Linked DNA regions of Arabidopsis thaliana. The protein of the gene in region 1 binds, or shares a complex with, the protein of each later gene. Each region holds a gene or a part of one and is shown in the gene's direction. Other genes may lie near its edges. The genes, in order: SCL30A, SKIP, SR45 and AT1G60900.

Evidence for each region.
Region 2: SCL30A (region 1) and SKIP share a complex: the UniProt entries of both Arabidopsis thaliana proteins name them as parts of the spliceosome.
Region 3: SCL30A (region 1) and SR45 share a complex: the UniProt entries of both Arabidopsis thaliana proteins name them as parts of the spliceosome.
Region 4: SCL30A (region 1) and AT1G60900 share a complex: the UniProt entries of both Arabidopsis thaliana proteins name them as parts of the spliceosome.

What each region holds. Positions count from the first base shown.
Region 1 is NC_003074.8:4,426,955-4,434,566, reverse strand, and holds SCL30A (SC35-like splicing factor 30A), read left to right. Parts: upstream 1-2,407; 5' UTR 2,408-2,568; intron 2,569-2,945; 5' UTR 2,946-2,964; coding exon 2,965-3,110; intron 3,111-3,444; coding exon 3,445-3,522; intron 3,523-4,247; coding exon 4,248-4,415; intron 4,416-4,504; coding exon 4,505-4,636; intron 4,637-4,738; coding exon 4,739-5,003; 3' UTR 5,004-5,311; downstream 5,312-7,612. Other genes in the region: AT3G13580 (Ribosomal protein L30/L7 family protein), read right to left, coding at 73-152, 239-296, 395-492, 579-758; AT3G13560 (O-Glycosyl hydrolases family 17 protein), read left to right, coding at 7,283-7,349, 7,444-7,612. UniProt on the Arabidopsis thaliana protein: Involved in intron recognition and spliceosome assembly. Binds probably to multiple 5'-GAAG-3' repeats found in its third intron, suggesting autoregulation of alternative splicing. May be necessary for accurate splicing of the 3' region of introns.
Region 2 is NC_003070.9:28,997,734-29,005,384, reverse strand, and holds SKIP (chromatin protein family), read left to right. Parts: upstream 1-3,249; 5' UTR 3,250-3,421; intron 3,422-3,544; exon of another isoform or gene 3,545-3,720; 5' UTR 3,721-3,752; coding exon 3,753-5,594; 3' UTR 5,595-5,808; downstream 5,809-7,651. Other genes in the region: AT1G77200 (Integrase-type DNA-binding superfamily protein), read left to right, coding at 294-1,028; AT1G77170 (Tetratricopeptide repeat (TPR)-like superfamily protein), read left to right, coding at 5,849-7,252. UniProt on the Arabidopsis thaliana protein: Splicing factor involved in post-transcriptional regulation of circadian clock and flowering time genes. Associates with the pre-mRNA of PRR7, PRR9, ELF3 and GI, and is necessary for the regulation of their alternative splicing and mRNA maturation.
Region 3 is NC_003070.9:5,675,107-5,682,823, reverse strand, and holds SR45 (arginine/serine-rich 45), read left to right. Parts: upstream 1-3,971; 5' UTR 3,972-4,137; coding exon 4,138-4,337; intron 4,338-4,459; coding exon 4,460-4,531; intron 4,532-4,614; coding exon 4,615-4,697; intron 4,698-4,885; coding exon 4,886-4,932; intron 4,933-5,018; coding exon 5,019-5,099; intron 5,100-5,189; coding exon 5,190-5,358; intron 5,359-5,447; coding exon 5,448-5,670; intron 5,671-5,741; coding exon 5,742-5,807; intron 5,808-5,946; coding exon 5,947-6,096; intron 6,097-6,328; coding exon 6,329-6,395; intron 6,396-6,504; coding exon 6,505-6,542; coding exon of another isoform or gene 6,543-6,546; exon of another isoform or gene 6,547-6,637; coding exon of another isoform or gene 6,638-6,647; exon of another isoform or gene 6,648-6,817; coding exon 6,818-6,899; 3' UTR 6,900-6,976; downstream 6,977-7,717. Other genes in the region: AT1G16630 (uncharacterized protein), read left to right, coding at 1-612. UniProt on the Arabidopsis thaliana protein: Involved in 5' and 3' splicing site selection of introns, and may bridge the 5' and 3' components of the spliceosome. Isoform 1 is required during flower petal development and isoform 2 is involved in root growth.
Region 4 is NC_003070.9:22,421,421-22,430,389, forward strand, and holds AT1G60900 (U2 snRNP auxilliary factor, large subunit, splicing factor), read left to right. Parts: upstream 1-2,473; 5' UTR 2,474-2,587; coding exon 2,588-2,698; intron 2,699-2,972; coding exon 2,973-3,265; intron 3,266-3,348; coding exon 3,349-3,498; intron 3,499-3,808; coding exon 3,809-3,876; intron 3,877-4,506; coding exon 4,507-4,583; intron 4,584-4,678; coding exon 4,679-4,726; intron 4,727-4,804; coding exon 4,805-4,864; intron 4,865-4,978; coding exon 4,979-5,039; intron 5,040-5,124; coding exon 5,125-5,237; intron 5,238-5,343; coding exon 5,344-5,790; intron 5,791-5,858; coding exon 5,859-5,994; intron 5,995-6,101; coding exon 6,102-6,169; intron 6,170-6,248; coding exon 6,249-6,386; 3' UTR 6,387-6,633; downstream 6,634-8,969. Other genes in the region: AT1G60913 (Rapid alkalinization factor (RALF) family protein), read right to left, coding at 7,185-7,424; AGL55 (AGAMOUS-like 55), read right to left, coding at 8,272-8,847. UniProt on the Arabidopsis thaliana protein: Necessary for the splicing of pre-mRNA.

The sequences.
Region 1 (7,612 bases):
GTAAGACTACCACTTACTAATGAGGTTAAATAAGAAAAGAAAGTTTTGAAATGTAAGCACGAAGAGGGGTACCCATAGGTTACATAGGGTTCAACACGGCGAAGCATGTTAATGGTTGCCTTGTTGACCTTCAAGAACACACCATTGAAAATCTGCAATAAATGATTTTAAGTGTCAGATACGATCCTTTTGTATCATTGGTTAACATATTACAAAGTTCTCATCATAAGATTGTTACCTGTCTTAAACGCAAAAGTTGCAAAATCTTCTTTGTCTTTGGGTCAATGGCATTGATACTGATGATAGAAACAAATAGATAGAAAAATGAGAAAACAGTTATAGAAGTAACACATCATCCTTATACTTGGGAGATAGTAATAGTAGATCATATTACCCACGGATACGGATAATGAAAAGCAGTTTAGCTTCTGGGTCAACATAAAAGCCTCCTTTCAATTTTGCCTCACGCTTCAGCTGGATTAATTCCCTTTCCTGAAGAAAACAAGTAGCAGAAACGCTCAATGAATTTGCATTTCTCACATTAGAAAAAATTGCAAACTAAGCTTGTAGAAAAATACTTTCTCCTGGTACTCCTTGGAGTACTGTTTAGCCCGGTTAAATATGAGTTTCCTCTTCTCAGCATTCTGCTTTTTGGCAGCCTCAAGCTCCTGTTTCTTGGCAAGTGCCCATTCTTCCTCCCTCTTTCTCTTCTTCAACACTGACTCAGGAACAACAGTCTTGGACTCTGCTTCAGTCATTTCTGTAAATTACATAGCCAAAGAACAAAATTGGAATACTCAATCGTTTAACTACACTTTTCCTGAAGAGAGAAACTGAAAAACAAACAAAATTAGATGCTACTGCTAATAAAATCAAAGCAAGAATTCCAGCTTCTTAGATAATGCAAGTGAAAACATATATAAAAATGTAACAAGTGAAATGGAATTGTGTTACACGAGTGAAACATAACCTTTCACCAAAATGATACAAAAGGTTTTAGGCTCCAAAAATCAATACTTTCAGGCAATTACTAGCATAATCCTCGTGTCTGTTGTCATACATATCAGAAAAAATCTTTTAAAAAACCTAGGAAATGGTCCACAAGTCATAGATCCAATTACATTCTATCACACAGGTTATGCACCTTAAAGACTCTTAATTTTTGTAAAGTAATCCAATTGCTAGATCACATGCGTTGTTTAGAGAGCTTTCTCAGGATTCCACCTTCTTCTGAACCAATAGCTAGATTTGTTTAGGCCAAATAAAGCCGAACCACTACCAAAACACACATAGCTTTCCTAAACCTGACCAATGCAATCGCGCAGCTCGAAACACGATTGATTTCTGCAACGATGTATGTTGAGAGGGCGAAGAGAAAGAAGAAGACTAACCGGCGATCACGGACGTCGGCGGTAGGATAGAGTGGAGGCGGGGCCGTTAACGAAGTGAAAAAGAGGGAGCGAAGCAAAAAAAAAAATCATTTTATAGTATGAGAAATTTTTGGACTAGGGCTTCGTTATGTTTTTATGATTTCGCTTTTACCCTATTAGAGTTGCGATATTTTTTGTTTTGACTCAGATAATTCGGCTTTACAAACAGACCCTTGGTTTATATTTTCTACTCTCTTCACATGTTTTTTAACTTTCAAAAACTTTTCTTATCAACTTTTTTGTTTCTTAAATTCAAAGATGAATGAACCACTCGACTAAAATAGTTTAACAGTTTTTTAGTTTATTTTCTTTCAAATTGGTATCTTAGATATATCATTCAATTTGACCATATATTTAAATCGTTGATATGAACTTTACTATTATTTCTCTTTGAAAAAAAAGAAAAATGTATGGCTAATGTCTCTTGAATGCCAAGAACACATTTTGTTAGTAACAAAGTGATTGGAATAAAACTAAATCGATTAATTTATTATTATGCATTTTGATTGGAGAAGTTGTCGAAACACACATACGGAAAACATAAAATTGTAAGAGTAACAAGTGATTTCAAATTTTAGTGTAGAATACATAACAAAAAAAGTTAGATATTTTCATTTTTTAATCAACCAAACATAATTTCAATGATAAACGATCAAAATAAACCGGCTTAATATAAGATATATCCTCATATTCTATCACAAGAGTTAGATTGAACCAATACTTAAATTCCTCTAAATTACTCTCATAAGAACAAGATTCAAACTTTACAATTAAGTTAAGAAATTAACTACATTTAATGGATCTGTTGATTTTAAAAAAAAAAACTACATTAACTGGGTCTACATGTAATATAAGAAAGTATGGTGCGTAAAACTAAACGTTTGGAAGGAATTTGGGGCAAAAGTTGACAAAGGGAAAAACGAAAGGATTTGTAGACAATACATAAGAAAGGAAATAAAATAAAAAATTGCAGAAAAAACCCTAATGACCCGTTCGCTTCAGACCATAAGATCCAAAACCATAAAACTAGGTTTCACACTTTCTCTCTAAACACTGTCTCTTTTCTCCGATACATATCCCGCCGCTTCCCCTGTGTTTTTCTTCGCCGTCCGTCGTTCTTTTCAACTCCTTAGCTGCGGTAAGTCTCTTGATGCTTAATCTGTTCTCCTTTCTTCTTCTTCGTCGTCTTATCTTATCGGCAGTGGTTAATTAAGGTCTATTGAATTGATCTCAAATTTGTATTCTTGTTTAGGATCGATCTTTCTTGTTGTTACTTGAGATGTTCTCCGATAGCTTAGTTCTTAGTTTGAAACTCATTATTAGCTAGATGTATATCCACATTCAGTAATTGTTTTATGGCTTGGAATTTGTAGAATTCAAATTTGGTTTTATACTTTTTTGAAGTCTTCTCTAGATGTGTGTAAGCTTCTGCGGTGGTTCTTCTATTTCTTAATCATTCAATCATATCTAGCACATTCTCTGACTCAATTTCTGTTGGTTACTTGATTGATATAGATATTAAAGTCTAGACACAATGAGAGGAAGGAGCTACACGCCATCACCACCAAGGGGTTATGGAAGGAGGGGCCGGAGCCCTAGCCCTCGGGGCCGGTTTGGTGGGAGTCGTGACAGTGATCTCCCAACCAGTCTCTTGGTTCGCAACTTACGTCATGATTGCAGGTATATTCTTTACTACTGCATGTGTATACTACTCTTTTCTCTCTTACACAAAATTATATATTTCTTTTCAATGATTTTGTTTCCTTGTAAGTTTTCGTGAGTCCATTACTTGTTTAGCCTTGTCTAAAAGGCTTTCCTAAAGCTGATGTATGACTCATCATCAAAGATTGGTTTGGTGGATTTTTTTGTGTGGCAAAAACTGATTTAGAAGCATGTAAAACGTATATTTCATTATTTTTAGATAGCGCATGCATAAACTTGTGTATCCATATTACTAGAAAATCACAGTTGTTTACAATTGGTTGACTCTGTTTTCTCTTGACCTTTTCTCCAGGCAAGAAGACCTCAGGAGGCCATTTGAGCAGTTTGGTCCCGTCAAGGACATCTACCTTCCTAGGGATTACTATACTGGGTGAGGATGCTCTGTAGATAAGACATTGAATGTTTATACATCCAGGGCATAATTTTACATTACTTCAATTAGACTATGTCTCTTTCTTATTGTTTTCTTTTGCTTCGTAAACCACCTTTTGTGAATCCTACATTCCATCGTATGCAGCTCATGAATTTGTTAGATTTATAAGAATTTTCTGAAAGGTCTATGTCAAACATGTCCGGTTTTATATCCAATCTTCCCAAAATCACATTTGGAGCCTTGAAACGTTTGTTTTATCTACACTTAGGTTTTCAGCTTAAGTCTAGTACACCTAAAACTTCGCCCTCTTCGAGTCACTTTAGGGAAAGAATACAGTGATATGTTCCATGTTCGGTCACACTTCGAGTCTGTTTATTAAAGTTGTTGAGGTTTAACAGTGAATCTAGAGAGTTGAAGAGACCAATGAAGTAATTAGAGTTCTTTGGAAGATGTTCTAAATGGTAGTGAAGGTTGGAAGGAAGTTGGGTTTGAATTCAATTTGAAGAGATATCAAGTCTTGGAGAAGTCATCTTTATACTGAAACTTGCAAGGTTTGCAGGCAAGTGCTTGCTTTTTCATGTTTATAACGATGGCTTCTATTGCAGGAGATTGTAATGCCAACTTTTTCTACAGGCTTCTCGTCAAAGCTGTACATCTTTCTTGCTTATTGTGTTTTTGGTTCTAGGCTGAGATTTTTTGTTTGTTTGTTGGATTTGTTGCAGAGATCCAAGGGGGTTTGGATTCATTCAGTTTATGGATCCTGCTGATGCTGCTGAGGCTAAACATCAAATGGATGGTTATCTTCTTCTTGGTCGTGAGTTGACTGTCGTATTTGCTGAAGAAAACCGGAAGAAGCCAACTGAGATGAGAACAAGGGATCGAGGTGGAAGGTGAATTGACATTCTTCCTAGAAAAAAGCATTAGTTTGTCTATACAATGAGATGACTTGATCTCAACTTGTATCTTTTCATGTTTGTAGGAGCAACAGATTCCAGGACAGAAGACGTTCTCCTCCTCGGTACTCTCGGTCTCCTCCTCCTCGCCGTGGTCGTAGATCACGATCACGTAGCCGCGGCTATAATTCTCCTCCCGCTAAAAGACATCAATCTAGGTAACTAGCTCTGCATGCCTGTGAAATTCATACTGACAGATATTCTTACAGTTAACTGATGGATTAAACCACCCTCTACTCTCCAACTCTGTCTTATGGCAGGTCTGTCTCACCTCAGGATAGACGATATGAGAAGGAGAGGTCATACTCTCGCTCACCACCCCATAATGGCTCAAGGGTTCGCAGTGGAAGTCCTGGGAGAGTGAAGAGCCACAGCAGAAGCCCAAGAAGAAGCGTGAGCCCAAGAAAAAACAGGAGCTACACGCCAGAACAAGCAAGGAGCCAAAGCCCTGTCCCTAGGCAGAGCAGGAGCCCGACCCCAGTCCCTCGTGGAGCACAAAATGGAGACCGTTCTCCAAGCCAGTGATTTATGATTACACCATATATCTCTCTACTCTTCAGTTTTTCAGTCTTGTTCTGTTTGATCAGATATTTTGTTTGCCTCAGATTGATATTTCCCTACTTAGACAGATATTTGTAGTGCTATTGGTATTTTGCTTTATGTTTGATCCATGGATGATCTTGAGACAGTATTTTGAATTAGCATGTGTTATTTGTCATCTTATCTTTTTAGATCTCATCTAACATTGTTATGGTGAAAAAGATGGTCCTATTATGGGAGCTTTTTGACGTAAGGCTCCTTTTGTTTTGAATCGGCATTTGAACACTTTCCAGCTATTTTCTTCTGCTTTCTTTTTCCAAAAAGCATCTAAGAAAAAAAAAACTTTGTTTCTTTCTTTCAAACAAAATGCCAAGATTAACGGTTTCTTACTTTTTAGTTTTTTCTCTTAACATTGGAAGTTTTATTCCAAAATCCAAACCCTGAGACAAGTCAAGTTATTAATTACAAGTGGTCATATGGTATATGAGTGTTACTAACGATTCTGTTCTTTTAGCCAGAAATTTTTTCTTCTGTTGACTTGTCTGAGTCTCTCGATCCGACAAAAGTCTTGGTCGTCGCAGGTTTTTGAATTTTCAGTTTTCCCGTAGAGCACTTAAGCTTGGATCGAAATGCACGGCGATAATGTCGATAATCAATTCTTTCTTCGTTTTGGAGAAATTTGGAAACAATTGTTTGCTATTTTAATGATCCCATAAAATAAATATATACGAAAACTTAATTAGGCAATTCTAAAAGACTATCAATTTCCGAATAATGGTGAATATATATATTTCTGAATCATTTTTAACGGTGATGAAAGAAACTGCCAAATCAAGAACAATTTGAGCATGCAAGAAACATTTCCAAGAAAACATTTGGGAGTCATGCACATGAAATTAGCAAACTCACGAATCTTTCTTTTGATTCAAGATTATATTTAAATAAAAATTGGTATAAAACGAAAGAAAATGAGAAGAGCGTGGTAATCGAGCCTCTTACAATCTTGTTTTCTTGTTTATTTGTTAATTTAGTATTCTTTTATTATGAAGGTGGAATATTGCCGTATTATTAGTTGTTAACGGACTTTAAAATATTTGTTAATATTTTTGAACTGTTTTATTTGATTTTCTTAAAAAGTATAATGCAAAACTTAGTTGTATTTGATGTTTTGTGAGCTATAGTATATGCCATGTCTTTTACTATTGGCCAAATTATATGTAGTTAAATGATGTTTTCATTTCCTTTTTGTTTTTGGGTTTGGATGACAAGTTGAGCTAATTAATAATTAGTGTGACACATTGAGGTAATTAATAATTTATTTAGAGCTTCTTTGAACTTTGAAGCCTCCCCTCACCTTCTATTCCACAAACACACCTCTCTGGTTTCCCACGCATTATATATAAGGAAAGATGAAACCAAAGTTTACTGAGAGCAAATCAATCTCTTAATTTGTTTTTGTTTTTTCTTTTCCATTTCCTTTCAATTTCGACAAATAATATTCGCCGAAAGACAAGAAAAAAAAGTGTTTACTTTTTGGGTTCCTCTTCGGTGGGTTCACTACACTAGTAACATCTCTGAACCTGTTCTCTGTCTCTCAGCAGCAAAACCTCGAGGCTTCTTTTTCTTTCATTCTCTCAATTTCTTCTCTCTGATCTGAATTCTCGCCGAGTGAATCTAGAACCAGGCAAGCTCCAATTAGGTACTTTTGTATATAATTTCTTGATTTTGCATCTGGGTGTTTCATTGTCTCACATTGCTGTCTTCGCTAGCTTTTCATTGTATCTTCCACATTCTTCCTTGCTCTGCAAATCCAGTTTCTAGAGCACATGTCTGAAAGAACGAAAACGACAAAAGAGTTAAAGATTAAAAATTGTGTCTTTTCGAATGCTCGATGAGTTTGTTTACTGTTTCTCCCCTTCTGTTCTCAGAACGTTGCTTAGTTTCCAGACCCCATTAGTTTACTTCTGTCGGAAATCCTCTGTTTTCTTAATAGCCATGAGATAGTTATCTAAAATTGCTTTCTTGAATTCACCAAAAAAAAAAGTTGCTTACTTATTTTTAGGGTTCTTACCATATTTGACCAATTATAACTCTCCTGAAAAGATTAAAAAAAAACAACAGTTTTTTCTGACTTCAGAGTGAGAAATCTACAATCCATTGTTATATTAGGTTTCAAATTTCTGTTAAAATCATTAGCATATGGCTCAATTTTGAACCTTTTCAGAGTTTTTGTAGGTTTAAGGTTTTCAAGCACTCTGTTTCCAATGCTGCTTCCGAGATGGTTTGCAGAAGCGTTGTTGCTCCTACTTTCAATTCTTGCCTGTTCAAACGGTAAATTTCACATGTTATATCTATCTCTAAGTTTACTTTTTTATTACTTGGTGAAGTTCATAGACTCTCAATGTTAATCTGATTCTTTATACAGCTGCATTTATCGGTGTAAACATTGGCACTGATCTCACCAACATGCCACCGCCTTCAGACATTGTAACACTTCTCAAATCACAACAAATCACACACGTCCGTCTCTATGATGCTAATAGCCATATGCTCAAAGCATTTGCCAACACTAGCATCGAAGTTATGGTCGGTGT
Region 2 (7,651 bases), on another chromosome or scaffold:
CATGGACCATGCATAGGTTATCACGAAGAGATAAATAAACATTTACTTGCCGAATGCAAAATATCAACATTAAATAAACGAAAACAAAAAATGGGTCATTCTCAAATAATATTGATGTGTGAATTTATAATGTGTACACACCTGTCATCATAAGTAAGCGATCGACTGTCCTTTTCTAACTAACTTCAACATTTCACTTCAATACTTCAACTCTCTTTCTCTCTCTCTCTAGTCTTTATATAAACCCTACGTACGTACTCTCTTCACACTCACTGAGTCAAACTCACGTGTCAATGACCGAGTCATCCATTATCTCCGTCAAACAATCGTCTCCGGTGCCGGAGGAGGAGGATCATCATCATCACCAACAAGACTCCCACCGAACCAACACCAAGAAACGTGTAAGATCCGACCCGGGTTACCGAGGCGTCCGGATGCGAACGTGGGGCAAATGGGTCTCCGAGATCCGAGAGCCTCGCAAGAAGAGCCGAATCTGGCTAGGCACTTTCTCCACACCGGAAATGGCGGCGCGTGCACATGACGCAGCTGCTCTCACCATTAAAGGAACTTCCGCCGTCCTCAACTTCCCGGAGCTCGCCACTTACCTTCCCCGTCCAGCTTCCTCCTCTCCACGCGACGTTCAAGCCGCAGCCGCCGTAGCGGCCGCCATGGACTTCTCCCCCTCCTCCTCCTCTCTCGTAGTCTCCGATCCAACCACCGTCATCGCCCCAGCTGAGACGCAGTTGTCTTCCTCGAGCTATTCAACGTGTACGTCATCGTCGTTGTCACCGTCAAGCGAAGAAGCTGCGTCGACGGCGGAAGAACTAAGCGAGATAGTGGAGTTACCGAGTCTAGAGACGAGTTACGATGAGTCATTGAGCGAGTTTGTGTACGTTGACTCGGCGTATCCACCTAGTTCGCCTTGGTATATTAATAATTGTTATAGCTTTTATTACCACAGCGACGAAAATGGCATTTCGATGGCTGAACCTTTCGACTCTTCCAATTTTGGCCCCCTTTTTCCTTAGTTTTATTTTTAAATAATCTCTTCTTTTAAAAACATTTAGCCTCCAAACCTCTGAAGTTTATTTAATTATTGGATTCAGACCAGAGTTTAATATACTTGATTAAACCTGATAGTACCATATAATGTTTATTGCTCTCTTTTTTTTGATCGGATCTTCTAGATATTTTGTACGAACACGCCAATTGTGATTGGACGATAAATGGTTTTTTGTTTATATTTTGCTAATTAACTTATATAGTTTAGGTGACCATTTTTTATACTTTAGGTGAACATTTGAGAATTAAACTATTTATATCAAAGTAGCGGTAGATAAAAGTATTATCTGAGATGGTTTGTTAGTTGACATATATTGAATCTTTTCAACTTGGTATTTATTATCACCCTCTGTATTTAATTCACAAAATTTCTACTGTTAGCTTCATATAACCAACTTTTTCAATTTAAATTATTGTTTACAGTGAATGAGAAATACAAGTACAATGCAATATTTAGGAAATACACTTTTGAGAAGAAAAATAGAAACTCATTTTCTTTCCCTAATTAAAAACAATTTGTACCAGAGAAGTAAAAGATTATCGTTCTACCAAAACGAATTTGCAGGTTAAGGATTATTTATCATTTCCTCTTGTTTGACTTTGTTTGCATTAGTCAGACATAATTAATGGCTTGACCCTTAATTTAACATGTCCATGCACTAACTCATATGCAAATCCAACGATGTGAAATTTAAAACCTTTTTTTTATTCATTTTTAATCTTTGTAAAACGAACTTATATTATGTTTGAACAAATATTTTTTCATACGCAATCCTTAGATGGGGAAATTAATACCTTTGTAACAAAAAAAAAAAAAAAATGTTAAATCAACTAAGTATTGGGTGAGTCTTCTCAACGAAAACATCAATCAACACCGGCCTCATAAGTTGATTAAATTAACACATTTATTATAATCATCGTACATTGATTTGAATCAAAATTAATTGTTACGTTAATTAGTAATGCATCTAACTATCCCGTAGGAAAAGGCCATTATATTGGGATCCGCGGTCAACGGAGGTTCCACCCACGAGCACGGTCTTTATTTGTTTTTTCCTTTCTCAAATATATATACGGATGTATGATTTTTTGCTTTTGGGGTTAAACAAATATGAATTACTGTGCTTAGATCAGAAATAGACACTTTTATACAAATGATTATATGATTACTGTTCATAGCATAAGCTCCTATGAAAACAAATAATAATCGCAACAGCCGTTTAACCTAATCGAATGCTGAAAAGCCCTCAAAATAGTTCATCTAATCCATGAATCGATTTAACAGAAAAAGTTGAAAATTGTATGCATATGATATACTCAAGTATATTCCGAGTTTTGAGTTGTGTAATGCAAGGAGTCAAGGACCATAGTTTGTCGTTGAACACAACCACGCCAAGTTGTCCACCAAAACTGGAAACTAACTACCATGCCGTTGTTTCCATAGAAGCAAAACCATTAACCTTCCCATTATCCCGCATGGCCACATATATGTTTAATAATATTTCTCACCATACATTTAAGTCTCTCTCGTAGTCGTTATTTACATAGCCTACGTAGTTCATTCATATCATTTTTGTTTCTTTACCTTATATCAAACAAATTGGTTGTTGATTAGAAAAACATAAATTGGTTCATTAAATATCAAACTAACGCCATCAATCTATTGTTTTTTTATAAAAAAATGAAAGAGAAGAAAGTTTGTTGATATGAAACTTACACTTGCTTTGAGTTTTGATAGACAAACCAAAGCCTAACTAGTATTTCCTCTATTGGTACTTGAATTCTGAACTTTTTCACCTTCCCTTTCGAGGTGGTTTAACAGTATACCAGTTGAGATGTACCAACACCAAATTCTTATACTTTTTTTTCTTTTAACCTTGAATTCAGTATTTTAAACGAAACTATGGGAATGTGTTTGAGACGGATTTTCATTAAGGACAATGCAAATAATTATGAGATGCTCAGAATTGTTGTATATATCAAAAAGCCAACACCTATAGTTATATATATAACTTTCTTCGATTTAAAAACAATAAGTCGCTTTGGCCGAGTGGTTAAGGCGTGTGCCTGCTAAGTACATGGGCTCTGCCCGCGAGAGTTCGAATCTCTCAGGCGACGTTATCCTTTTCGTTTTTTCGTCTATTTTTAAACCGACTTACATAGACACTGCGTATAAGACAATTGATTCCTTTTTTTTGTTGTTAATCCTATCAACCCTAGAAAAGGCTTCACGCCCGATTTCTTTTTTCCCCAGAAAAAGGCTTCACTTCCGTTCGTTGTTCTTCATCGGTCTGCGCCGCCTCGCACATCGTTTCACCTTTCTCAGAATCTCTCTTCCCGTCGATTAGTTTCCTCAGAGGTTAGCTTCTTCGATTTCTCAGATTCAATTCTGCTTTTTGCTTTCCTCCTGTTGTTTTTAGGTTTTTGTCGATCTCTATGTTCAGCGATTCCTAAACCCTACTTGTTTTCCGCTCTATTGTAGTGAATCCAACCCAGATTTTTCAGATTTTAATCGGAATTATTCGGGATCTAATGCTCGCGTCGAGTTTATCGCTAGAAAACCCTAATTTCGGAGGATCTGTCACTTTTATTATCAGAAGCTTGTTGTTGTAATTACGGATTAGGTATGTCCTGATCGTTATTGTTCTTTGTTTGCAGGTTGCGATTTGTTGAAAACCTTGATTTAGACTATGAAGTCTCTTAATGATCTTCCTGCGCCCAAATCAACCACTACCACGTATTATGATCATTCTAATGATGCTTGGTTCAAAAACCGAGTCACTGAATCCGAGACGGTGAAATCCTCCAGTATCAAATTTAAAGTGGTGCCTGCTTACCTGAATCGTCAAGGTTTACGTCCGAAGAATCCAGAGGATTTTGGCGATGGTGGTGCTTTCCCGGAGATTCATCTTCCTCAGTATCCTCTTCTTATGGGTAAGAATAAATCCAATAAGCCTGGAGCTAAGACTCTCCCTGTTACTGTCGATGCTCAGGGAAACGTGGTCTTTGACGCTATAGTGAGGCAGAATGAGAACTCGAGGAAGATTGTTTATTCTCAGCATAAGGATATTATTCCAAAGTTTCTGAAAAACGAGGGAGACTTGGGTACTGTTGTTGATGAAGAGGAGGAATTGCAGAAGGAGATTCAGGAGACTGCTGAAGAAACGAAAGCTGCCATTGAGAAGATTGTGAATGTGAGACTGAGTGCAGCGCAGCCTAGTAATATAGCAAGGCAATCGGGAGATTCACAGTACATTAAATATAAGCCATCCCAGCAATCTTCTGCCTTCAATTCTGGTGCTAAAGAGAGGATCATTAGGATGGTGGAGATGCCTGTAGATCCACTTGATCCACCAAAGTTCAAGCACAAGAGAGTCCCAAGGGCTTCTGGTTCTCCGCCTGTTCCGGTCATGCATTCACCGCCCAGGCCTGTTACCGTCAAGGACCAGCAAGACTGGAAAATCCCTCCTTGTATCTCCAATTGGAAGAATCCGAAAGGTTACACAATCCCTCTTGACAAACGTCTAGCTGCTGATGGAAGGGGCCTACAAGACGTTCAGATCAATGATAACTTTGCCAAGTTATCAGAGGCCCTCTATGTAGCTGAGCAGAAAGCTAGAGAGGCTGTTTCAATGCGTTCCAAGGTGCAAAAAGAGATGGTGATGAAGGACAAGGAAAGGAAAGAGCAGGAATTGAGGGCTCTTGCCCAAAAAGCTCGCTCCGAAAGAACCGGTGCTGCTATGAGTATGCCTGTCTCATCTGACAGGGGTAGGAGTGAAAGTGTTGACCCAAGAGGTGATTATGACAACTATGACCAGGATAGAGGAAGGGAAAGAGAAAGGGAAGAGCCTCAAGAGACGAGGGAGGAGAGGGAAAAAAGGATTCAGAGAGAAAAGATACGAGAAGAGCGTCGCAGGGAAAGAGAGAGGGAGAGAAGGTTGGATGCCAAAGATGCTGCCATGGGGAAGAAGAGCAAGATCACCAGAGACAGAGACCGTGACATCAGTGAGAAAGTTGCTCTTGGAATGGCATCTACTGGAGGAAAAGGTGGTGGTGAAGTTATGTATGATCAACGTCTGTTTAACCAAGACAAAGGAATGGACTCTGGTTTCGCTGCTGATGACCAATACAACTTATACGACAAAGGCTTGTTCACTGCACAACCAACTCTTTCGACTTTGTACAAGCCAAAGAAGGATAACGATGAAGAAATGTATGGAAACGCTGATGAGCAGCTCGATAAGATCAAGAATACTGAGAGGTTTAAGCCTGACAAAGCTTTCACAGGGGCTTCAGAGAGGGTGGGTAGTAAGAGAGACCGACCTGTTGAGTTTGAGAAGGAAGAGGAACAAGATCCTTTCGGTCTTGAGAAGTGGGTTTCTGATTTAAAGAAGGGTAAGAAACCTTTGGACAAGATCGGGTCTGGTGGAACTATGAGAGCAAGTGGCGGTGGTGGTAGCTCTTCAAGGGACGATGACCACGGCGGTTCTGGTCGAACCAAGATCAATTTCGAACGCAGTGACCGGCGTTAAAAGTCAAGACAAAGAAAAAGCTCAGTAACTGATCTTTGATTTCAATATATAACTTGTTATTTTGGATCTGTTAAAACAGTTTGCTTTGGATTATCAGTATTTATGTTGTTGTGAGTCTCTTAAACTACTCGAATACAATCTTTCAGCTTCATAATATCAGATCTTTTGAGCTTATTTTAGTTTCTTTTTCACTGTTACAACTTTGTGTACTTAAGAATCTTAGTTTTGAATCAGGACAACAACAAAAAAGACACATGTTCTTCTCTGGTCTTATCTCCAAGCTTCATGTTCATGGTACTAAGAGAACAAATCACTTCACGATCTTTCACCGTTTGAATCATTTCGTCACTACATCATCTTCCTCGGTTACGCCTCTTTCGCCTCAAGATCGAAACAAACTCTTAGCTACTCTGTTATCAAACTGCACTAGCCTAGCTCGTGTTCGTCGGATCCATGGTGACATCTTCCGTTCACGAATCCTCGATCAATATCCGATCGCTTTCTTATGGAACAACATCATGCGATCTTACATTCGCCATGAGTCTCCTCTCGATGCAATTCAAGTATATCTCGGTATGGTGAGATCGACTGTTTTACCCGATCGATATTCTCTTCCGATTGTAATCAAAGCAGCCGTTCAAATTCATGATTTTACGTTGGGAAAGGAGCTTCATTCCGTCGCCGTTAGGTTAGGGTTCGTCGGAGATGAGTTCTGCGAGAGTGGGTTCATTACATTGTATTGTAAAGCAGGGGAATTTGAGAACGCACGTAAGGTGTTCGATGAAAATCCTGAGAGAAAGCTGGGGTCTTGGAACGCCATTATCGGAGGGTTGAATCACGCTGGTCGAGCTAACGAGGCGGTGGAAATGTTTGTGGATATGAAAAGGAGTGGACTTGAGCCTGATGATTTCACTATGGTTAGTGTGACTGCTTCTTGTGGAGGATTAGGTGACTTGAGCTTGGCTTTTCAGTTGCATAAATGCGTTCTACAAGCTAAGACCGAAGAGAAGTCTGATATCATGATGCTGAATTCGCTCATTGATATGTATGGAAAATGTGGGCGTATGGATTTAGCGAGTCACATATTCGAGGAAATGCGACAGAGAAACGTTGTCTCTTGGAGTTCTATGATCGTGGGTTACGCAGCTAACGGGAATACATTAGAGGCTTTAGAATGCTTTCGTCAGATGAGAGAATTCGGTGTCAGACCAAACAAGATCACGTTCGTTGGAGTTCTCAGTGCTTGCGTCCATGGAGGTCTTGTGGAGGAAGGAAAAACATATTTTGCGATGATGAAGTCAGAGTTCGAGCTAGAACCGGGATTATCGCATTACGGATGCATAGTTGATCTATTGAGCCGTGACGGGCAGCTTAAGGAGGCAAAGAAAGTTGTTGAGGAGATGCCGATGAAGCCTAACGTGATGGTTTGGGGTTGTTTGATGGGAGGGTGTGAGAAGTTTGGGGATGTTGAGATGGCTGAGTGGGTGGCTCCATACATGGTTGAGCTTGAGCCGTGGAACGATGGTGTTTATGTTGTCTTGGCTAATGTGTATGCACTCAGAGGGATGTGGAAAGATGTTGAGAGAGTTAGGAAGTTGATGAAGACGAAGAAGGTTGCTAAGATTCCTGCCTATAGCTATGCTTCAACGACATTTTGAAACTTGTTTCTCTACATGTTCGAAAAATGTAACATCATAACAAAGAAGATCAAGATAATTTTTCTAATTAGATCCTTAATCCTTCTATTTTATTCACTCACTGAGAAACAACACCTGACATTGCAGTTTTAGATTTAGTAAATTAAGTACTCAGATATCGTGTTGGCAATTTTGCTAGTCATTTCCGACATCAAGATCATGTCGAGAGGAGTTTAAAACTCGATTTCAACTAATTGAAGGCTTCCGGTTTAATGTGTTCAATTTCCGGTTTACTGATTTCATTTTGGAAAACAACAAGGCGGGACCCAGGAATTGTTTTGACAGCGGGTAGGACCCAATTTCAAAGCAAAAATTATGTAAACAAAAAAGATAGGGTCCACACGCTTTTAGCCCGTCTTA
Region 3 (7,717 bases), on another chromosome or scaffold:
GAAGAAGAGAGTGGGTTTGGTGAAGTTGTTAATGATGCAGGTTCGGAGGACATTTTGTTGAGTGGCCAGAAGAAAGTGTTAGTCTTGTTTTCGACTATGATGGTTATACTTGCAGCAGTAGCAGCTGGTTTCCTATTAGCCAAGAAGAAGACAAAACCTGTGATGCTGCAACATGAAGATGGCGAACCAACAGCAATCTCTGCAACTAAAGTTGTCGAGCATGTGCCAGTAGAGAATCTGATCAGAGAAAGGCTTTCTTCATTGAATTTCAAGGAAGAAGAAGAAGAAGTTGGTGATGACAGAAAAAGAGAGGTATCATCATTCCCTTCTGAGATGAGTTTCAGCTTCAGTAAGAACAAACCATTACACAGCTGCAGCAACAAGAAAGATGATCTTAAAGAACATCAAAGCGGAGGAGGAGGCAAGAAGAGTAATGATAGCGGTGAATCCATGGCTTCCTCTGCATCAGAGTACTCCATAGGTTCTGTTTCATATGGAAGTTTCACAACATATGAGAAGATACAAAAGAGAAGTGGTCACGAAGAGAAAGAGATGATAACACCTGTGAGACGTTCAAGCAGGATCAGGAACCATCAACATTCTGGACAATGAGTTAGAATTAGCTTTTGACTTTATGATCTACTGATTTGTAGGAAGGCTTTTCCATCTCACTGAAGCTTAATTAGTATGTTGCTTTCTTAATTAGTAGGTTTGATTCTCTTCTTTAAAGTTTCTGGCTTTACTATTTGTTTAAGACATTGTACCCCAACCTTGTGGCCTAGTTTTAATAATATTGTTCATGTTATCTGAATCCTCTTCTTTGTATCTTGCAAAAACGATGGACAATTTTCAAACACCATGATTCATGATTGTAAAAGGTTTTGCAAGAATAGGACCAAATGGCGTTGGAAGTGTTTTATGATGATAAATCAGATTAGTTTATATAGATGTAGAAGTGTCAATTGGGCTGTCCAAAGCCCATTGGTCATGTCCACTTGGACCATTTTTTTCATGGGTTTTATTGGTTGGTCTTTAATGGACAATGGTCTAAAAATTTGTCCAAGACCATTAAAGACCATTGTCCAATGGTCAGCCCATGGCCAGCCCATACAATGATGTTTATATACAATGCATTTTCACACAATCTCGTCAAAAGCTCTATTTATAAAACCATAACATCAACATGAAATCAAACATGCATGTACCTGTTCTTCCCAGTCTTGTAATCAACCGTGACAACTCAAACACGCATCTAAGACTCTCTATATGCACCTACAAGTAAAGAAAAAAGCCTACAATGGCTACATGGAGAATGATTTAACAGAGAAACCCATTTCAATACTACTCCAACATCTAGAAATTGGAAACCAGAAGTGGCCATCTTCAATAAGCTTAGGTAAAACAATAAGCTTAAACAACATTTCCACAATGTAATCAATCACAAATGATTATAAGTAAGAGACAAAATCCAGAATCAATTCCAAACCAAAATCTGTCATCCAAGTTGCAACCTTAGACCGGATACCATCACAACCTATAACAATCTGTCAAAGACATACATCATCAAATCAGCCATGTACTGAGAATAATAAACACATAACCATAGGCTCAGAGCTTAAGAGAACAACCATGTACTTGTTTCTTCCCAGTCTTGAAACGTTCATGCAAGGGTGGTGTTTGTGTCCTCTTGACCTTGGATCTCATCAGTTTCTTCAATAAGAAAAACCGAGCTATTAATCTAAAAGCTGCAGTCCAAAAGCCATATAAGTTTACTATTATAAACGAGTTCAAGATGTGAATATTACCAACTTCTTGAAATCCACGAAACCAGTTTCTAGTACATAGGAGGGCTTGCACATTAGTAGGTAAAAGGCAGCTTCTATATTTGTTAAGCACACGACTACCTATACTAAAAGCTGATTCCGATGCCACGGTAGTGATCGGAATGCTTAAGATATCACATGCCATCGATGACAATTCTTTAAAACGCGAGACATTGTTTTTCCAATATGCAATAACATCCATATCTCTAAAAGAGACCATATCTAACACAGGCTCTTCCAAGTACATATCTAATGGTGATTTTCCAGTTCCATTTCTTTCAGAAAAGTAAGAGTAAAACCCCTGAAATATGACCAACAAAACAAAATTCTCACTAAGTATAAGAATGCATTTTCAGAAGCATTATGCTTTAAAATGCTTTGCATAGTATCATTTGCAGAAGCATTATCTACAGTTAAAGTAAAAACTTTCTTCTCAATTCCCCAATCTTTCAACAGCTCACTAAGCTTCATTGCTATAGCTACTCCAGAATGTGGAGGCGGGAAAGCACAGAAAGATAAGATCTTCGTTTTCAGAACACCATCAACATCTACATAATGAGCTGTTAAGCAAATATAACTTTCAACAGTTAAAGCTCTCCACAAATCTGTTGTTAAGCATATTCTACCCGGGATTATAGCTAACTTTTCCTTAAGCTTAATTTTCTCTCTTTCATAAATCTTGTAGACATCAGAAGCTGCAGTATTTCTGCTCCAAAATTCTATATAAGGGTTAGCATATGTAAAGGCTTCTCTAATTCTTTCATATTCGACAAACGAATATGGAAGATTATGTTGAACTAAAGCCACTGCAATCATTTCTCTAAAGACCATCATATCCACCTTTCTGCTAATTCTAGGTGTACTTCCAGGAGTCTTCTCACAAGATCTCATATGACGATTCATGGTATTAGTACCATTTCGTCTCAGATTCAAGTGATAAGTCTGCTCACAATATTTGCATGTAACCTCAGTTTTCCCATTAGGATATTTCTGTCCTCTATCGAAGTTTTTCCAGCATGCAGCACGAAATCTACTTACACTACTTTTACCTCTCTCAGCTGTCCCTGAAGAAGCAGTTTCATGAGGTAGTATCTGATCCATTTCTGGATCTTCATGGTCCATTTCTTGATCCTCAAGATTAAAGTTGTCTTCATCAACCAAGTTTTGAGTATCCAATTCCATATTTCTGAAACAAATAAAGACATACACACGTTTAGCAGTGATAAACAAATAAAGCATGAACTTGACTAAATCACTAGCCTTCTGGAATAATTAAGCATGAACTTACAACACAAAGGGTCTCTACATATTGATGTGCTTCAATTCATAATGAAATTCGAAATGGCGAAACATAAACAAAATCTGAAAAGTGCCCATTTGCTAGCTAGCTCTCCTCATATCCAAAATTCACAATTGAACTTTGGACAAACCCACAAGCTAGTAGAACTAACCGGAGTAGGAGTTGAGAGAGAGGTCGAGCTTGGTCGTCGCCGAGAGAGAGCTTTGTCGCCGGGAGAGAGAGCGTCGTTGCCGAAAGAGAGAGAAGAGAAAAAAATTTATGTGTTGAAAAAATTGATGGGCCAACCATAAACCGTGTGGGCTAGCCCATTAAACCCATGGACAAAATTGGTCTTTAGACCATATAGCCCGTTTTCATTACGGGCCGACCATGGACTGTCCATAATGTTGTGGACTGGGCTTAGCCCATGGTCAGATGACCATTTGACACTTCTATATAGATGTATGAATAAACCTTAATGGTTTCGGTGTTATTCAATGACTAGATTCAATCTAAGATACTTTGATTTTGAGATTGCTCTTAAGTTTGTACCAAGGCAACAACAATATCAACAAATTATGGGACAACAAGAGAGCTATAGAAAAATGGTATCTAATTGATCCTAATTGGATGGTGTACACGACCACAGACAATCGATTACAACATTTTATAAGTTGTTGAATTTTTTATGGGAGTTACTAGCTTTTCTGTTTGAATTTTCCTGTAGGATTTGAAGAACTTTTGATTAGTGACACATTCAAATCTGATATGAAAAATGGGAAAGGACACAAATTGAGCTCATTATGGTATTTATACTTTATAAAATGCTTTAAAAAACATATAAATCCCTCAATTTATCAAGCAAATAAAAACCTGCCACGTATCATCTTCGGTTTAATTTGCAGTCCGCGGAAAAAAAAAGGAGACTGGAAAAAAAAAGTCACAGTCTGTCTGTCTGTCTCTCTCCTCTAATCTTTTTTATCCGCTAGGGTTTTGAAGCAAGGTTTCTCGCGATTTTCTCGATATCTCTCGCCCATGGCGAAACCAAGTCGTGGCCGTCGTTCCCCCTCCGTGTCTGGCTCGTCATCTCGTTCCAGTTCCAGATCTCGTTCGGGTTCGAGCCCCTCCAGGTCTATTTCCCGCTCACGCTCCCGTTCTAGATCGCTCTCTTCATCTTCATCTCCTTCGCGAAGCGTCAGTTCTGGGAGTCGCAGTCCTCCACGTCGTGGAAAAAGGTTAGGGTTTCTTTCAATCACTTACCAATTGTTCGAATTGGATTTGTGTAATTTCGCTTTCATTCTTCTTGGTTCGTTCAGCTCGAATTCGAATTGATGTTCTGATGTATCTTCTTGTGTAGTCCTGCTGGACCTGCTAGGCGAGGTCGCTCTCCTCCTCCTCCACCATCTAAAGGAGCATCTTCACCTTCCAAGTAATATCTGACTCGTTCACATAAATATATTCTAGTGTTTATGCTTTCGTCATTACTGACTTTACAATCTTTTATGCTTTCAGGAAAGCTGTTCAAGAATCTCTTGTTCTCCATGTTGATTCTCTTAGCAGGAATGTGAATGAAGCCCATCTCAAAGAAATCTTTGGTATGTTGATTTCTCTTTTCTCTGTTTCTTCTGCTTCTTCTAATCTTACTACATGATAACTGTCTACACATGTCCGCTAATGTCATCAGTAGTGTATACGGCATTACGATCATCACTGGTCTTTTGTTTTCCTTGTGTTGGCTAAATGTTAAGTCTTATAACATGGCTTGGTTTCATGTTATTATTAGGCAACTTTGGTGAAGTTATACATGTCGAAATTGCGATGGATCGAGCTGTAAGTTGCTATTCTCTTTACTCTCTGTTGTTTACTTGCATCACTTGTTGAAATCTGCTCATAATTCCTTTGAATATTATTAACAGGTTAATCTTCCAAGAGGACATGGTTATGTTGAGTTCAAGGCAAGAGCTGATGCTGAGAAAGCTCAGCTCTACATGGATGGTGTATGTCTCTTTCCAATTATGAAATGCACTGTACTTGACATATTGACAGAGAAGATTTATGCATGTTTTTTTTTTGTTCACTGAACACAGGCCCAAATTGATGGAAAGGTTGTTAAAGCAACGTTCACACTACCACCTCGTCAGAAAGTATCTTCACCCCCTAAACCTGTCTCAGCTGCACCAAAAAGAGATGCTCCAAAATCTGATAATGCTGCTGCTGACGCTGAGAAAGATGGTGGTCCCAGGCGCCCAAGAGAGAGTATGTCAAATCCTTATATTTTGGTTATTTATAATTGTTGTAGTATATGCTTTATGTTGTGTTAATTAGTATCATCAATATGTGCTTAGCATCTCCTCAACGGAAAACAGGGCTTTCTCCGAGAAGGCGATCACCTCTACCTAGGAGAGGCTTATCACCTAGAAGGCGATCACCTGATTCTCCCCATCGCCGGAGGCCGGGCTCTCCTATCCGCCGTCGCGGTGATACACCTCCTAGACGTAGGCCAGCATCACCATCTAGAGGCCGTTCTCCATCTTCTCCCCCTCCAAGACGATATAGATCTCCTCCAAGGTTAGTTATGGCACCATCTGTTTTGTCTGGTGTGTTTCAGATTCGATAGCTCACCTTTTATCTGTCAGCAGGGGCTCCCCTAGAAGAATTCGTGGCAGTCCTGTTCGAAGAAGGTCTCCTCTTCCTCTAAGACGAAGGTATGTCTATTTGGTACCTGAATTACACCCTTAGTAATCGAAGTTTAGGAATCACAGCTTTATAGACTATATTACTCAGTAAATTAGACCGGGAAAAATGTGTCAGTTTTATATATGTTTTGTATTCGGCGTGTTTCAGGTCTCCACCTCCAAGGAGACTACGCAGTCCTCCCAGAAGATCTCCAATCCGTAGGCGTAGCCGATCCCCAATTCGTAGGCCTGGTCGCTCTCGTTCAAGTTCCATCTCACCCCGCAAGTATGTTGGAACTCATTTAAACTTTTTTCTGGGGTCTCTCTCGTGGGTTTTATTTTGTTACAGATGCATAGCTAAGACTGATTCATAACAAGTTTTTAAGTCTTTCATAATTCATGAGTATACCCCAAGATCCTACATTGTCTTATCCTTTTACCTAGGTTTCTGACATACCAGCTCCTAGAGACGTTGATACCCAATATGACTAAGTTATATAGATCCGTCTGGGGTTTGTTCATGAATTAATTTTGTCTTTAACTGTAAGCAGGGGACGAGGTCCAGCTGGGAGACGTGGGAGGTCATCTTCTTACTCTAGTTCACCAAGTCCCAGAAGGGTAAGGGCTTCTTGCAGATCCCTTTTTAGCTATAAAATTTTTGATGCCTTGCGAGTTATATGTCTTGACTCTTGACTTTCTATCATTTGTGCATTATTAAACCTTACAGATTCCTAGGAAGATTTCAAGGAGCCGCAGTCCTAAGAGGTAAACACTTTCTGTCTTAACACTAATCCTCGTCTTAAACTGGAAACACTTTATAGTCTGTAGAATGCATTAATTGAAGAAGTTCCAATGTTAAGTTATGTATAGTAAAGTTAAGGGTTACCCCAATTCCTGATAAAAGACATAGCATAAACATCTGGGACCTATACTTTCTTGGTGAGTTTGGTGATGAAACAGAGAAAAATAGAATTGTTGTGTAGAAATTTTTTGCGTTGAAGTCTAATAAAAGAAAATGGGTTGTTGTTGGGTATGTTTAGGCCACTGAGAGGAAAAAGAAGCAGCAGTAACAGCAGCAGCAGCAGTTCACCGCCACCACCACCTCCACCTCGTAAAACTTAAAGGTGATAAAAATTAAAAAAAAAAAAAAAAAAACTTGAGTCTTGATGTAGCTCTCTTTCTCCATCTTTATCGTTATCATCTGTCTCAGCCTCTTTTCTTAGAACAGATAAAATGTTTACCAGTGACCAAATGAGAGTTGTGGTTTTTGTAGTGTTTGGATGTTTAATCTTCTTTTGTGGATCTCCTCATTAGATGCAACGATAATGACTTGGTTCTTTTAGCTGGTTGTAATTCCCTAATATATTCAGTCTTGTTGAAGAATGGCTGGCTCCTTCACCCTTTTCTTATTATTTTAGTTAAAAGAGAAAGAAATCCATACAAAGACTGGTGATCCAAATACACAAGAAATTGGTTTTTTGTTTCATTCAGAGAAATAAATAATTATAATTTAAGGGCTCCTAAGATGCACAACAACAATTTTGCATCAAACCATGCATCTTAATGAGAGTGCACAAACTTTTATTTAAAACGAAAAATAGAGTTTTCCTCAACTTCACACAGTACATACCACTCAAAGAAAATAAATATACATACCACTCTGCAAGTGCCCATATGGGGAAGATGTTTCTGTAGGTAACATAGTTTAGAAAACAGTTCTTCATGAACACTCCTGTCATTTCCTGCACAACAGAGCAACAACTCTGTTTTTATAATCTAATAAATACACACACCATTCTCTGATCCTGTATGTATTGAATCTTTGGAAGAGAGTGTTGAGGATAATCTCCGTTTTCTAATTGTAAATTGATGATTAGTAATTATTAAAAATATATATAAATATGTAGTCAAATTTCTAACTTGGAACCAATAATTTTGAA
Region 4 (8,969 bases), on another chromosome or scaffold:
TTGTATTCATTTTAATTAATTGATTTGTTGTTATGTTAATATATATATTGTGTGTTATGATTGATGAATTGTTTTGTAATCTCTTAAGATCATAATGAATTGTTAGCGTATGGTTGTGGCCGAATTGTGATTTTTTTTTTTTTTTGCTAATCGAAATATAATGTCACATATTCATAGATCATAAAATCTCTTGTTCAAACATTCTTTGGTGATCAAAGTAACGTGAAATTTAAGGATTCCGCAATTCAAGATAGTGAATAGTGGATGTTGTCAAGATACTGAATAGTGGATGTTGTCAGTACAACAATTGTGAACGATTAGAACGTCCATCTATCTACCAAGCTATCGACATTTAAGTGGCTATAGTGCTAGCTATTTAAGTAGTTATGCTATATGTTGGCTTCAATTTATAGAATTAAGCTTGTTATGAGTTATTATTGGAATTAGGATTGTGATTATAATTGTTTTTATATTTGTGCAATTATAAGATATACCAATATATTTTAACAAAAAGTAAAAGAAAAGAAATAGGAGTATAAATATAAACGAAACACAAAATAGAACTGTTTAGGAGAATATAAAACTTTTACGTTGTCTCTACCTCTTCAAATTCACCAAATTTATTTTTTAAATAGTTTCCATCACTTGTCAATGTCACATCACCTATCATCTATCTCTCTTTTTCTCCCTCTCGTCCTTTTTCATCACTTTCATCATTCATGCATCTCTGCCCCCATTCTCTATTTTCTTCTATATTTCTCTAGTCAACCAAAAATTTTGCCTTAAGGAAACCAAAAGAGAAATCCAATTGAAAAGGATATTAAAATTAAGGGTAATATTAAAAAGAAAATTTTGGGCCCAACATCAGAACACCATTTTATGACTGTTTCTATTGTCGACTGTTTGACAAACTGAACAAACAATGGCTTTGATTGGTGAACAAAATCAAAGCACTACAATTTCTACAATTTATAAATTTATCAATCAAATATCAAAATTGTTACACTGTTTTTTTACAGTTTTTCTGTACTATTTTTCTTTTTCTTTTTTATACATCATTATGTACCATCTTACCATTATAACTACCAGGTAAAAAACTTGTAAATTTTTATATTATTAATAAGACCCAATATATATATATATATATATATATATATATATATATATAAGTTAGCAATCCAATGGTCTTGCAGTCTTTCATTATTGTAATGATGCTTATTAGGTTTTGTACTAAAATTAATGCTAATCAATTTAGAATTTACATAATAATATTTAGAATCATCTGTTTTTGTAACTATCTTAGTTTTAGAACTAAAAATAAAATAACCCAAAAAAAACTGGTAAGTACTAGTCTCTAATAGCTATGCTTTCTTTCTACAATATTATGGTAGTCAAATTATAAAAATATGGGGATGTTTCGAATCTTTCTACCGTAAAACTGGTTGTGTCCAAACGTATATATTTGGGATACAATAAAATAAAAAATAAGACTATTAAGCCAATGAATCATAATGAGGCCATAATTTTAAACGATTAATGGGCTCCTAAATATCTATCTTCATAATTCACACTCCACATGAATCTATTCCTAGTAACCCTAAGTGTTTTAATAATAGGATCTAGAGATGTTCGAAGATATAATTGCATTTTACTTTTCGTCGTACTTATGACGAAGCAAGCCTTGGACATCTCCGTTTTAAAACAGGGATCTCATGATCTTGAAAAGGATTCTTCAAGAAGCACAGAAAAAGACAAATTCGTATGAATTATTGACTCATATCAAAGTTATTTCATATAAACAAAATCCTATGAATTATTGACACTAGTCAAAACTCAATGAACAGATTGATTGGCCGTGAATGCTACGGTCCATGAAGGGATCGAGTGTGGACCAGTCTCTGCAATATATGTTGTTAGGTTGACTTGTTTTCACTAGAATCGTATGTTTTTCCAATCCATCAGTACGTTTAACTTCAAACCACCGTCAAATGAAAGCTAATTTAAACTTCTTCTTTTTTTGTAATATTTTGTGTCAACAATTGAATTTGATCCATGGTGAGAGAAACCTCTAAACGCCGGAGATATTTGTGATGTTTTAACGTGGTCTTTCATCTTCAATTGCTAGTTACGCCTAGAAACATATGTGACTTTAAACTATCAGATAAAGACTTATAAAACACACTTTTAAAAAGTCATAAACAAAGACATCTAATAATAATCAACCCTTAATTACACAAAAAATAATAATGTAAAACAATATTAGAATGATCAATTTTTAAAATATTTAGTTTTTTTTTTTTTTTGGTGATAGAAACTAAAAATTTAGACTATAAGCCGATAAAGCTGATAAGCCCATTAAGTATAATGAGACCCTAGTTTTCAAATTTGGACTAGACAAGCCCATTTACGGTTTTGGTGTAACACCAAAAAATACTGTTCAATTTACAATAATACCCATATATCACTTCATCTTCCTCGAAGAATCTTCATAATTTTTAATTCATCCTCCATTAGAATCCCTAGGGTTTTCTTCCATACACAATCAGACTCAACGATAAGTACCAATCGGAGAAGAGATCACAAGTGGATGATGAGTTACGAAGGCAACGGAGATGGTGTCGCTATCTCCACCGAAAACCACAACGAGAACTACATATCTCTAGAGAGCTCGCCTTTTCATGAAGACTCCAAGTCTCGAGTATGTTACACTTTCTTCTTTACATATCTTGCGTTCGATTCTGTAGCTTTTAGGTTTCTCTCGTGAATTAGACTGGTAATCATAATTTGTTCTCCACTTGTATTGTAATTTGGTACAATTCTCGGATTCTGCTTGTTGAATTTATGTTTTTGATAGTTTGATTTGAAGGATTCACTGGATTTAGAGTATATATTATCATGTTAAGTTCATATGTTCTCTTTAGAAATCTGGGGATAGTATATGAGAGAAGCCTTTTGACATTTGTTTCCTGCAGGAATCTCATGATCTTAAAAAGGATTCTTCGAAAATCAGTGAGAAAGACAATGAAAATGGACGTGATAAAGACGGAAACAAAGATCGTGATCGTGAGAAGGATCGTGATAGGGAGAAGAGCAGAGACAGAGATAGGGAGAAAAGCAGAGATAGAGATAGGGATAGGGAGAGAAGTAAGGATAGGCAACGAGACCGTCATCATAGAGATCGTCATAGGGACCGTAGCAGAGAACGTAGTGAGAAAAGAGATGATTTGGATGATGATCATCATCGCAGAAGTCGAGACCGTGATAGGTACTCATTAGTGTGTTGCAATTGTTTTTGTAGTTTTAGATTGTTTTATTCTTAAAATTGAAGGTGTAGTCATTTCTCGACAGGAGGAGGTCTCGCGATCGAGACAGAGAGGTGAGACACAGGCGACGGTCACGCTCTCGGTCAAGGAGCCGCTCTGAACGTAGGTCAAGGTCAGAACATAGACATAAGTCTGAACATAGATCACGCTCACGGTCGCGATCAAGGTCAAAGAGGTACCTGGGCTCTCCTGCTATTTTTATCTTTTCTAACTAGTTCTTTCCGTGGCCACATTGCAATGTGTTATGATATTGATGTCAAATCAAATAAAACCATTATTGTTTAGTATTTGATGTCTTTGTTTTGTTGACACAATATGATTATCATGGTCTTCTACTGGGTTGAACGGTCCCTCCTTATATGATTACCAATATTTTAGTCTGATCTGGGTCATTGATGTTTATGTGTGTTTCATACGTTTACTTGGCATTATTTTTTCGAACTCGTCTCTACTGATGTCTAACCAATTATATTTTGCTCTTTCAGCAAGAGGAGAAGTGGATTTGATATGGCGCCTCCTGATATGTTAGCTGCTACTGCTGTTGCTGCAGCAGGTATTTGCTTCATCATCTACTCAGGGTTATTATATTTCTTAACTGCTTGTTGTTTTTGATTTTACGTAGTTTGGAAAGATCATAGTCAATTACACGGTGTGACTTTGGTAAGCTGCAATTTTATTGTTTACTCGTGAACAAAGAGGACTTTGAAGTCTTGCTTTCTTCATAGGATGTCTTGTTATTTTTGTTTGACTGGTGGTTCTGGAACTGAGAAATTTTTTGTTTGTGTTTTTTTGGTGGTGTTTGTTTGTTTCTGTGTCTTGTCTTTTTGTAGTAAGAAGGCTATGTTGGGTTAGTTGCCCCACTGTGCTGACAATGAGCCGACCTCTCTAGCTTTAATTGTACAAGGAGGAATCAGTGCAACGGTTGTCATGGGTATTTTTCATCTTCGACTGGCAACTATATGCCTGTTTTCGAGCCTTACAATCTCTGACAACTAAAACGAATATTACATCACAACTTTTCATTTTAATATTCATAAGTTGTTGGTATACTTTCTACTTGTGGGTTTTGTAAGTAGCAAGGTGTTATCTGTAGCTTTGTACTTGTTGGTAGGTCTGCTCCTCCGGGAAACATAATAATGTATCTAACAAACATTTTTATGACGCATACTACTTTACCTAGCAGGCCAGGTTCCTAGTGTGCCAACTACTGCTACTATTCCAGGGATGTTCTCAAACATGTTTCCAATGGTCCCTGGTCAGGTATAAAAATTTGTATTTTTGTGTCTCTTATGTTCCTCTTTTCTTTTGTTTTATGCGAACATGCTCAGAACTTCTCAATCTTTTTTCTCACATAGCAACTAGGTGCGCTTCCTGTACTGCCAGTTCAGGCAATGACTCAACAGGTACGATCTATCAATCTATCTTATTCTTAGGTTCTTCACCTTTTGTCACGATTCCCTTCCTAAAATATGTAGTCGCAGGCAACTAGGCATGCTCGGCGAGTCTATGTTGGTGGCCTTCCACCAACTGCTAATGAACAGGTTTGTTACTTTTGTTTTGTTTAAGGTTTTGTGACTTTTTGTTTATTATTGTCTATTTAAACCACATTTCAATATCCATTGTATGCCTACTGAGAATGGGTTTTCATGTCCTAGTCGGTGTCAACGTTCTTTAGCCAAGTGATGTCGGCCATTGGGGGAAACACTGCTGGGCCAGGTATTGAAAAGTTCATTATATTTTTGTCATATTGGCCGCAAGTCTATACGAAATCTCATCCTTTTTTTGGATTATTAATTCATAGGTGATGCGGTGGTCAATGTTTATATAAACCACGAAAAGAAGTTTGCTTTTGTAGAGATGAGATCTGTTGAGGAGGCTAGTAACGCAATGGCATTAGACGGCATTATATTAGAGGTGATTTATTAGCTCTTCTACACTTTAGATGTTTGGTGTTTATTAGTTACAATCTGTATTATGAGTATTGAAACCTATCTGAAATCATAGCTTTTTTCATCTCTAGGGAGTTCCTGTAAAGGTGAGGAGGCCAACTGACTATAACCCGTCTCTTGCTGCAACTCTTGGTCCGAGCCAGCCTAATCCCAACCTCAACTTAGGGGCTGTTGGATTGTCTTCAGGGTCTACTGGTGGGCTTGAGGGTCCCGACCGCATTTTTGTGGGCGGACTTCCCTATTACTTCACAGAGGTACAGATCAGGGAGCTCTTGGAGTCTTTTGGGCCCCTAAGAGGTTTCAACTTGGTCAAAGACAGGGAGACTGGAAATTCGAAGGGATATGCATTCTGTGTTTACCAAGATCCGTCAGTAACAGATATTGCATGTGCCGCTCTAAACGGGATTAAGATGGGTGATAAGACACTTACAGTTAGGCGTGCAATCCAGGGTGCAATTCAACCTAAACCCGAGCAAGAAGAAGTCTTACTTTATGCCCAACAACAGATTGCTTTGCAGGTAAAGGATTCTGATTCACTCTATCTAAATGATCAGTAATGCTAAATCTGTCTCAAACTTTGTTGCAGAGGCTTATGTTCCAACCAGGAGGTACTCCCACCAAGATTGTCTGTTTGACTCAAGTGGTTACAGCTGATGATCTTAGAGACGATGAAGAATATGCAGAGATAATGGAGGACATGCGACAAGAAGGTGGAAAATTCGGTAAGCAATTAGATTTTCTTATTGTCTGTTCTGACATTATACCAATAGCACATTACTGAGGCTCATGGTCTAAAATGAACTTTGATAAATCATTGTTGTGTGTGTAGGTAACTTAGTGAATGTTGTGATTCCGAGGCCTAATCCAGATCATGACCCAACACCAGGAGTTGGGAAGGTTAGATTTCAGTCCTCAGATACAAATGTCTACCAAATTCATATATAAATTGCATACTCTAATGGTAATACTAATGCAGGTTTTCTTAGAGTATGCGGATGTGGATGGCTCATCAAAGGCCAGATCGGGGATGAATGGAAGAAAATTTGGAGGAAACCAAGTAGTGGCTGTGTATTACCCCGAAGACAAGTATGCCCAAGGCGACTACGAAGACTGAGCTATCTATCGTCTTCTTCTTAAGCTTTTAGTTTGGATCTCTTAGCAACAAGTTTGGTTCTTTTTTATTTTTAAGTTTTTTACATGTTTAGTTCTCTCTCTACTAAATGGAGAAATTTGTCTAGAATCTGACTGCAATAGTACTTGTCCAGGCACAATCAATTAAGGTGTGTGTTGGTAATAGTAGCTTTTGGTTTCATTGAACACTAACCAAACCACATCAGTTTATATTATTGTTCTTTTAAAAACTAAAAGACCAAACCACATCAGTTTCTAAATGCAATGCTGGAACATGTGCAATTGCTCTCACTAAACGTGAAATACTGGATTTATATTAGAAAAGTAAGATAGTAGGCAAGTAGCACCAGTGGTCTAGTGGTAGAATAGTACCCTGCCACGGTACAGACCCGGGTTCAATTCCCGGCTGGTGCATTTGAGCGTTGATGAAATTTGCTTTAAGCTAAGGTTGGGTCCTTAGCAATTCTCCGATGAATCGGATAATATAGCCTCATATCTGAGCTCATTTGTTTTTTATTTTATTTTACAACGAAAGTTACATGTCATGCTTTCACAAGACACATCTCATGTTACACGAACTTGAAGTTATGCCTGATAACACATTAATTTATAATTTATTAAAATATATATAACAATAATTTGAAGTTAAAAAAAATGAAAGAATTTTAAAATAATTAAAATTTGATAATGTAACAAGTTCCATATCACATCAATAATGTAGATTAGTGATAAATTTTTTTTCATATTTAGTAGAAAATGATTTGTATATATGAATACATAATTAAATATGATACTTTTCACGATAACAATGTGTAGTGTTTTGACAACCAGGAGGAAGATGGTACTGGTTGACTGGAACTCTGACACAATTTTTGGGATCTTGAGTGCAGTCTGGAACTCTATCTTTTGCAATAGCTCTATATTTTATGTATCTTCCTTCTCCGAATCCGCTGAACAATGATAATACAATCACTATTGACACAAAGAAAAGACTAGTAAGACTCATTTTGTGTGCAGCCATTGTTTAGAAACCGAAAAATGATGTATTTAATCTTCTTGGTCTTTTTCTTTGTTGTTGTATTTTGCAGTTTGAGTTGGTGATTATTGGTTTTTTTTTTTTTTTTAATTTATAACAAGAGAGATGATTCTAAATACAGAAGGCCAGTGCATAATATGTGTGCATAAGGAACTTAGTGGATCTTATATTTCAATTTTGTTTCATTAGGAGGAATTTATGTTTCTTTCATTTTCTTTTTGGTATGAAATCTCTAGAGATAATTCTTTTCGTTTGTTCTGTTTGGTATGAAATCTCTAGAGATAAGAATAGTTACATGTCTTAGAATGAAACATTCCCTGCGATCTAATGGATAAGTTTATGGATAGGTTTAGTTACGATTATAGCAGCAATAATATATGGGAAAACTAGCTTCATGGACACAGAGACCAGCACTCATCTTCAAAAGAACACAACATGAGTTTCTCAAATCCTCTTTCTCTATCTCCAGTGGAATTACACACTACTGTACCAAGCCACCACGAGGCCGAGACAGAGCCAACAGAGTTCGAGAAGAATCAGAAACGGTACAAAGACCTAATCGCCACCTTTCTTCATACCAAAGGCTGGACAACTGACTTGTTTGCTAATAAAATCGACAATGAACCTTTCTTTTGTTATTTAATTAAATGTATTTCAGTCTCAATCAAACTGAACAAAATTTTGGTTTTATATTAGTAGCTTTTTTTTTTCCCAAACCAAAACACCGAAAAAATCCAAAAAATAATAATGCACAGCTAGATTAGATAATAGCCTAAATAAACAAGACATGATGATTAAGTAAGTTGGTTAAATCAAAGGATCAATGTTGAAATCAGTAATAACGATCATCAATGTGTAGATTATCCACTACGTTCTTTAACAAACTTGCAGAAGCGGAAGTTTCACCTTCGAGTTTGGTAATTTGATTTGTGTCTTTGTAGCCAAGCTGAAGAACCTCCTCATCCTCCTGATGAATCACTAAACTTCCATCTCTTTGATTGCTCTTCACGGCATCATCTAATCGTAGCCTCACATTGTTCAACATCCTCGAAACCGCATCGACTGCCTCTTTCAACTCGTCGACGTTCTCCAATCTGTCAAAGGCTTGGTCTTCCCACCAAAACCCTAACCCTGATCTGTTATCTTGGTTTGTGGGAAGAGATGGATGCTGATTGTGAAGGAGAGAGGAGACAACGTGATCGACAGAGGAATGACCGAAAGAGTAGAAAGAAGCATGGGAGTGGGAAGAAAGAGGAGTTGCTAAGATTGCGATTTGAGTCCCCGGAGAGAGGAGACAGAGCTCTGAAGCTTTGTGGAAGAGTCCGCTTTTGCGTTTTGTGAAAGCAACTGCTCTCACGTTCTTATCTTCGATTCTCTTCATCTCTATCTTTCTTTTTGTGCCTCCCATATTGAAACTTCAAAGGAAGAAAGCCAAATTACAGACAGAGATTGTTTGAAACTTGTAGAAAGCTAATTACACAGAAAGACAGAGATTGTTTTCATCGTCCTCTCTTTATACTAGTGTACTCT